Linked DNA regions of Arabidopsis thaliana. The protein of the gene in region 1 interacts with the protein of each later gene in a pairwise test. Each region holds a gene or a part of one and is shown on either strand. Other genes may lie near its edges. The genes, in order: CDKB2;2 and CYCP2;1.

Region 1 (4,842 bases):
CACAAAAATATTCACATACGCCAAGCAAAATAGAATCATGAATAATTTGCCAAGAAATTCTCAATTTGATTCATCTTCCATCATCAATGATTTACCTTTAGACCTTCTCGACGAGATTCTCTTCAGATTAGAACCCAAATCTATGGCTATGATGCGATGCACTAACAATTCTATCAAATCATATTTAAGTGATCCAAGATTTGGACCGGAATATCCTTCATGGGTCAGACCTAGTTTGTTTAACCTTGGTAGCTATGGCGCTACTTATGTATGTTGCCATCCTTTGGTCTCTTCATGCGATTATATGTCACCGGGAAATGGAGTAGAACTGTTTGATGGTAGTGCGGATTGTTACATTTTCGGCTCATGCTCTGGTCTTCTCCTATTGTACATTGGTTGTCTCTTTGTTGCAAATCCCTTAACAAAAAGGTTTCGAATCCTGGATCATTCTGGATCAAAGCTTATACCAATGATAGTTAATGGTGGACTTAAAGGTCTTAGCGGAATTAGTTATCCTGGAGGTAATGTTGCTTGTACGGAACGAGCGATGTGCGTTGGATTTGCGGTAAATCGAAATCTAACAACCAAGAGATTCAAGATCGTGGGCATACTCGAGATGGAAAACGTATACGGATTCGAGATCAACGAAGGAGACTCTTGGAGATTATCGGAAACGAGTATCACCACTAGCTCAAAAAGTGATCTCACTACGCGGATGAAACCTGTTTACTTGGACAACACTCTTCACTGGCTGAGAAACGATGGCAGCATCATGTCTTTTAATCCCGAGACAGAGCAAGCATGCTTGATTCCTTCCATATTTCATCGGGAACCGGATACGAAGCTACTTTTCGCGGAAAGCGTTAAGATCAATCGCCTGACCCTAATTTCGGGGACGATAGAAACAATCTCCGTTTACACACTTGTCGAGAATCACAAATGGACACTCACAAGGCGGATCAAGAACATATCTATCGAGGAAGAAACGCTTGTATATTGGAACATAGCTATGTACGATGGCAAGTGTCTTGTGGTGAGGGTGAAAAAGATGGGTTTAGAACCTTTGGCAAGTGTTCTTCATGTGTACGACATGGAAGCTAACAGTTGGGGAGTTTTGGTGTCAACCCTTGCTTGGCCCAATTGCGTCCGAGATTTCTATAAATTGACGCCCTCCTTGTTCTTTGTAGAGGAGGATGAGCAACAGAAGGTGCTTGTTGCTTCTAATGACCGACGCATCTCCTATATAAATTCGATTATGGGACTCATTGATACCACCAAGTAAACATTTAGGGCCTATAGATTATACAAAAAATGTCCTGATTTATAAGAATGTTTGTTTCCCATTTGCTTTTATCATTGCACTATTATGGTTTATGTATTTCAAATCTAAAAATTAGTTGTATATTACTATTTCTTTTGGGACAAAAAATCATTTAAGACAATGTTGTTTAAGAACTTGTTCTTCTCTGGCTTGTCAATTTTTCGTCCTGCCCAATAAAGGCCCATCTTGTGTGTTTTGTCGAATCTAACAACAAACTCACACCTTTTGACCAAAAAACAAACTCTCCCCTTTTTTTTTTCCTTTCGTGTAGCTAAACCGTCTCCGGATGTTGACAAACATTGGTTATTCACTTTTTCCACGTCACACTTAAAAACAGAACATAAAAAAAAAACTAATGACGACGCTCCAGTTTTGAATTTTGAAAAAAGAAAAAAAGAACCGTTGAAAAAACATGAGTGCTCAAAGAGGGAATATACCTTTTTAATAATCTCCTTCCTATTTAAACCAATTCTCGAATCTAATTACATTTCCTCTCTCTTTCCCCAAATTGAAAACAAAATCTGAGATTCGCGAAGGAAGAAGAAGAGTTGTCTTGAGAGATTGATAGAGATGGACAACAATGGAGTTAAACCCGCTGTTTCCGCCATGGAAGCCTTTGAAAAGCTTGAGAAAGTAGGTGAAGGGACTTATGGGAAAGTTTACAGAGCAAGAGAGAAAGCTACTGGGATGATCGTTGCTTTGAAGAAGACGCGTCTCCATGAGGATGAAGAAGGTGTTCCTCCCACTACTCTTCGCGAGATCTCTATCTTGCGTATGCTCGCTCGTGATCCTCACATCGTTAGGTTCGATTTCCTTTTACATTTCTGATTCGGTTCAGTCACTTTCTGAAATTCTCCGATTTACTGGTTTTGATTGTGGATTTAGGACTCAATTTCGATTTCTAGGGTTTAGTCCCGATTAATTGATGTCTCAATTGATTTGATGACTCTGATTCTTCCTGCAAATCGCGCTTAGTGTCGCTCTTAGGTGTTACTGGTAGATCTTAGTTTCAGTTTGCTATTTGTTGTGTGGTCCGATCGAGATAAAATGGGTTCCTTATCTTATCCGAATACTAGAAAATGTCAAAGTAGAAGCTCTGTGTTGTGATCTCAGTTTCAACTATTTTTGTGGTGATTGCATTTCTACTGAGAGATTATTGTTATGATGATTATCTTCTTCTACAGGTTGATGGATGTTAAGCAAGGAATAAACAAAGAAGGAAAAACTGTACTTTACCTTGTTTTCGAGTATGTTGATACTGATCTCAAGAAATTCATCAGAAGCTTTCGTCAAGCTGGACAGAACATTCCACAAAATACTGTCAAGGTTTGGATATTTGGAGATTTTGTTCTGCTTTTTTTCTCTCATCCGATAAGCCCCTTTAAGCTAAGAGAAACATGTTCTTGAATTGCAGTGCTTGATGTACCAGTTATGCAAAGGCATGGCTTTTTGCCATGGTCATGGAGTGTTGCACAGGTAAAAATCGTCTTTGTTTTGGAAGAACTATGACTTGAGATAACCCATTTTGACACAGATCTCTAATCCTACTTGTCTTGGTTTCATTACAGGGATCTTAAGCCTCACAATCTCTTGATGGACCGGAAGACAATGACGCTCAAAATAGCAGATCTTGGATTAGCCAGAGCCTTCACTCTCCCAATGAAAAAGTATACACATGAGGTATATAAGTCTACGTTGATGAAACATTAGTCCTGTTTCATTCTAGTTTTTTTTTTTTTTTTTAATTCTATCTTAGTTTATCTGGAGTTATAACTCAGGATGATTTTACCCCCATGATTTCATTTGCAACAGATTCTAACTCTATGGTATAGAGCTCCGGAAGTTCTTCTTGGAGCAACCCATTACTCTACTGGAGTGGATATGTGGTCTGTTGGCTGTATTTTTGGTACAAAATCTTCTCTTACAGTTTCACTGGTTTCAGTTCAATGTCACTAGCAAGAACTAACAGTTTTGTTTCCTTTTTGATGTGTAGCTGAACTAGTGACCAAGCAAGCAATCTTTGCGGGAGACTCTGAGCTCCAACAGCTCCTCCGTATATTCAGGTAAGTCTTTGTGTTCATCTTTACCTTTAAGACACAAACATGACATTCGCTAACTTGGTTGTTCTGTTTCTTTCTTTCCTGTCAAACTCAGGTTGTTGGGAACACCAAACGAAGAAGTTTGGCCTGGAGTAAGCAAACTCAAGGACTGGCATGAATACCCGCAATGGAAACCGTTGAGTCTCTCCACAGCTGTGCCAAACCTCGACGAGGCTGGACTTGATCTCTTATCTGTAAGTCTCTAGTGTCTAACACACCTCTCAGACCTTGCTTGATTAGTAGATAATCACTCTGCTGAGACTAATTTGTGTTTCTCTTTGTGCACAGAAAATGCTGGAGTACGAGCCAGCAAAACGAATCTCAGCAAAGAAAGCTATGGAGCATCCTTACTTCGATGATTTGCCTGACAAGTCCTCTCTCTGAGGCTCTCTTTATAAACTCTCAATAGGATATTTTGTTCTATCTCTGTCTTTGCTTGTCTCAAGCATTTATCTGCTATCTTAGGATGATTGAAGTTTCAATATTCCCTTTTGATTGGGTCTCTATTCCCAATTGTATAACCTTCCAACATTTTTATCAATGAAAGAATATATCAGTTTCTCTAATATTTCAAAGTAGCAAGATTTGCAACTGTTTCCCATTTGTGTAAGTGTGTGTGTGTGGATGTTCAGGCTACGAGCCACATGAAGAATGTTGGCCAGACAGTGAGAGAAACTGAAGCCAAGGCATAACTCCAGAATAGAATCACAGAGCATTCACTTTCTCCTGATCCGAATAGTTGAGTGATTGTACCTGCCAAAAGGTCAAGTGAGTTTATGAGAAAGACAGTGTGATGACATGTTTTGGTAGTATTTTTGTGAGTCTGAAGAACGAACCAAGATTCATCGCTGGGGGAACGACATACTGAAGCAGAAGAACAAACTGGTAAAGCGGTTCGGATGTAACCAAACCCAAGTAATGCGCTCCTCGTACTATGAAAACTCCTAATATTGGCAGCAACAAGTAACGCACAACCACCACACCCATTATGACTGACTTGTTTATTCCTGAACCTCTCAGACCTGTGATTATTATAAGAGAGAGAACAGAGATTTAAGGTTTTGTCTTAGGAAAAAAAGTTTCTGCAGCCATTTGTTATTGTTTATCTACCATTGAGAAGGTTTCCTCCAACAATCAGAGTCAGAACAGGAATCGCCCCGTCCCTTCAAGAAAATTAAGCTACTCAAGTAAGCATTGTTAATTATCACTGACAAGTGAGATTTTTAATATGTTGTAGAATACCCCAATAGAGATACTGAGTCCTCAATCACTCGAAGTGGAGCTGTGTTACCGACTAGTAGCTTCCGTAGTAAAGGATTTAACCCAACCGCAAGCGCGATAAGCTGAAGAGAAAGAGGATTAGTTGCTTAACTAGTAAGAACATACAGAAGCTAGATAGCAGTCGTTTAGTTCAAGGGAACA
Region 2 (3,867 bases), on another chromosome or scaffold:
TCGTGCCAATGACATCCTTGGCAGTATGAAACCTTCTCGTCGAGACAGCGGATTGCGGCTGGCTGTGAGAAGCATTTCTCGCAGATCAAAGAGCGTATGTGCCTGTGAGACAGAGGATTCGCAGAGTGTACATGGACGTCGCAGTTTAGGCATAGTTTAGCCAAATCGGATTTGCAGTAAATCAATGCTTGCGAGGTTGCACAATGGTCACACTTTGGCTCCATACTTGGAGACATGATGATTGGGTAAACTTAAAGAAAAGTGTATAGAGAAGAATCTGACGTTGATATTGTTTCACGATTAGTAAAACACACGTAAGATCCTGCGCAACATAGATGCATGACCATTTCAGATACAAATCATGGAAGGAAAATGATGATTTTGGAATTAAAGATGGTAATATATGGGTGCATCATGCATGATAGGGTTTTGTGTTTCAATTACATTAATTTGTGAGGAAAAATATCGTAAATTGTTACGTTTCAAATAGAAACACAAATGTTTTTGAGAGCTAATACGGAGGAAGAAGCACTCACTTATGACGACCGAGATCGATTAGGCCGATTCACAACCTTTTTCGTAAAATGACGAGAAATTCAAAACCCAATAATGGGAGATTACAGAAAAAAAAACAGATTACAATCTAAGAACAGAATATTTTTTGAATCGAATGAAATGTGAAGAAGAACAAAAAAAGAGTTTTTTTACACTTTTACAGTGGTGTGCGAATCACGTAGAAGAAAGAGAGGTAGGGTTGCTTCTTTTATACCTTGTGAAAACGTGTGTCCACGCGGTTAAAATCCACGTGGCGTAATTATGAGCCTTGACGTGATTTATTATGAAGACATGCATAGGTAATTGTGATTATATCGCTTGTCAAGATAGTACTATCTGATTTTTTTCTTGCTCGATAGATTTTGTGCTCTGTGGCAAACCTTAAAACTCGTTGTTTCGGGTCGATACTAGCTATTACTAGTGTTACTTACTTGTGGTTCCCAATAAATTTATTGATATCGTTTATACGTGTAATACATGTCGTAATTTACTTGAATATTGAGCCACGTACGTTTCTTTTTCGAAAATATGTTCTCAACTAGTTTGAAAGAGTTATCAGTTTTTCTGAATTGTGTGATGTCTTTTGGTATCTCTAACATTTGATATATAGATGTGAGATCATTGAGTCATTTCATTTGAAATAGACTAGGCCACATCAACTTCTATATTATCATCAGTTTAATGTACATGCATGTATAATGGCTATGCAGTTGACTCTTGAATAGAAATAAGTTGTTAGCATTTCTAACTTTTTGATCAGGCTACCCTCAAATTTTGGGATTCCTAACCTAAAAAATGTTGTCAGCTATTTCGTAAAAAATTTGTTTCTAAAAGAAAATTGTAAAATTTGAACTAGTAATTATCTTTTGATATAATCCTCAAAGAACTAACTTTTCTTTTTAAGAAGTTGCACACCAACCTAACTATTTAAAAGGATACAATTTAAGAAAAAAATGCCTTATGCAAAGAAAATGATATATAGATTTGATAGATAAAAGTAAGAAACATGATAACTATTAACGTAAACAAAGATAAATGAACTTCAAAACAGAGATAAGAAAAAATGGCCACATAACATTATATGACCTATGCATAAACTCTCCTTATCAAAACATTAAACATGTATGCAGTGACCGGCAACGCGTATGCCTTTTTTCAAATAATGTATCTAACATTAATTTACATCTATATATAGTATTTACATCAAGAATATATTCCAGCGTATGTAGTAAAATTTGTGTACTGTGAGACTTTTCAAAGGAAATTGTACCGGACGAGAAAATTATGGACCAAGACCCGGAAACTTAATTTTGGGTAATAATGCTAGTAATATGCAGAAAATTAAGTGGAAAATAAAGTTATTTGTTTGATAAATGATAACTAATTTCATTGCTCAAGGTATACAAAAATCATCGGAATCCTATCTTCTCGCGAAGTGACACGTGTCAAAACCATCTCACACTCGTCCAAAGTCAGACGAAACATGATAACATCCCCACGTAACATCTTAAGCTCATCGTATCTCAACCACCCAATCTACAAGCCATATATACCCAAAACGAACTATACAACATGGCCCATTAACGAAAACTGAAGAGAACCCATGTTAACCGCAGCCGGAGACGATGAACTGGACCCGGTCGTGGGACCAGAATCGGCAACGGAAGCAGCCACTCCAAGAGTGCTGACTATAATCTCCCATGTGATGGAGAAGCTCGTGGCACGAAACGAGTGGTTAGCTAAGCAAACTAAGGGATTTGGGAAGAGCTTGGAGGCGTTTCACGGCGTGAGAGCGCCGAGCATAAGTATAGCTAAATACCTTGAGAGGATATATAAGTACACAAAATGTAGCCCGGCATGTTTCGTTGTTGGGTATGTGTACATAGACCGGTTGGCTCATAAGCATCCTGGTTCTTTGGTTGTCTCCTTGAATGTTCATAGACTCCTCGTCACTTGTGTCATGATTGCTGCCAAGATACTAGATGACGTGTAAGTAAGCCTTTCTTGAATTTCTATAATATCTTGAAATTAGACTAATCATGAAACTATAGATCATAGTTGTATCTTAATTGATTAACAAAATGAAAGATACATTTTATATCTAACCAATATAAAATGAGGACAAACTTTGTACCTATATGTATGTTAAGTGCCCCTTTTAAGTTATTGATTTCAAGGTTTCAACATGTATTGGATGAGATAAGAGAGGTTTTCGTTTTTTCTAACAAATTTCATATTCACAGGCACTACAACAACGAGTTCTATGCTCGGGTTGGAGGCGTAAGCAATGCAGACTTGAACAAAATGGAGTTGGAGCTTCTCTTTCTTCTTGACTTTAGAGTTACTGTGAGTTTTAGAGTTTTCGAGAGCTATTGCTTTCACCTCGAAAAAGAGATGCAACTAAACGACGCCGTTTCTTCCCTCAAAGATATTCAACCAATGCAAGAAAGTCTCTCTCCAGCATCTACTTTATCATCTTTATATGTTTGATATATGTATATGAATTTTTTTAATATAACTTTTAACTGAACGCGTTTGGTTGACAGAAAAAGTTTACGCACTAACTATCGAAATTTTATTTATATTTTGAAGAAATTATCTCAAATTTTTGCTAGAGAAAAATAATTGAAATCTCAAACTATGTATACTAGAGATTTTACAATGTAAATCTGTTAAGTTAAATAGTTTGTAGATTTCAACTAAATGATATAAGCTATTTTTTCCTACATTTTGCACATGTTGTTTTGTTCTTCAGGTTCATCTCTCTATTTTCTTCTTTTCACTGTAAAATGATACTCCATGATGACTTAAGTATCCAACAACAACAAACCAAAATCCAATTCTAGTTTCCTAGTTTTCTTACTCCTCCAATCGTCTTCGGTTTATCGTGTAAAATTTCCTTTACATAAGAGCAAAACGCACCGTTTCGTACAGATCAGATCCATCGCACCCTATGATAAAAAACAATGGTCTCACACGCTCATCCACCACCACGTGTTTAACAAGACACGTGTCCAAACAAATTGACTTTGCCTAGTTGTGTTCTAATGGAAAAGTAAAATTCCTCTTTTCTCTCTTAGTTCAGGGAGGAGGCTCGAGAACAGTGCCCCATATCTGAAAGCTGAAGCTAAGAATCTGGACGTTCGTGTTTAAACCGACGACGTATTTGAAATTGGCTTTGAAGGAAAGGTGAAATTAATGGCGGAATCGTCGTCGCCGTCGCCTACTGAAGAGATCGTTCGGTTGATTAAGCGTTTAAGCGCTTACGTTGCTTTCAAAATGTCAAGCCTTTTCTCCACTACATCGATTCGA

The links.
Region 2: the proteins of CDKB2;2 (region 1) and CYCP2;1 interact in a two-hybrid assay, tested with the Arabidopsis thaliana proteins (one study listed by BioGRID).

Annotation. Positions count from the first base shown.
Region 1 is NC_003070.9:7,291,714-7,296,555, reverse strand, and holds CDKB2;2 (cyclin-dependent kinase B2;2), read left to right. Parts: upstream 1-1,809; 5' UTR 1,810-1,891; coding exon 1,892-2,124; intron 2,125-2,505; coding exon 2,506-2,647; intron 2,648-2,735; coding exon 2,736-2,797; intron 2,798-2,889; coding exon 2,890-3,001; intron 3,002-3,133; coding exon 3,134-3,227; intron 3,228-3,314; coding exon 3,315-3,384; intron 3,385-3,475; coding exon 3,476-3,614; intron 3,615-3,708; coding exon 3,709-3,804; 3' UTR 3,805-4,048; downstream 4,049-4,842. Other genes in the region: AT1G20940 (F-box family protein), read left to right, coding at 38-1,282; AT1G20925 (Auxin efflux carrier family protein), read right to left, coding at 4,049-4,173, 4,257-4,442, 4,531-4,583, 4,663-4,763.
Region 2 is NC_003074.8:7,703,105-7,706,971, reverse strand, and holds CYCP2;1 (cyclin p2;1), read left to right. Parts: upstream 1-2,013; 5' UTR 2,014-2,158; coding exon 2,159-2,544; intron 2,545-2,798; coding exon 2,799-3,045; 3' UTR 3,046-3,173; downstream 3,174-3,867. Other genes in the region: BBX10 (B-box type zinc finger protein with CCT domain-containing protein), read right to left, coding at 1-236; PEX22 (peroxin 22), read left to right, coding at 3,754-3,867.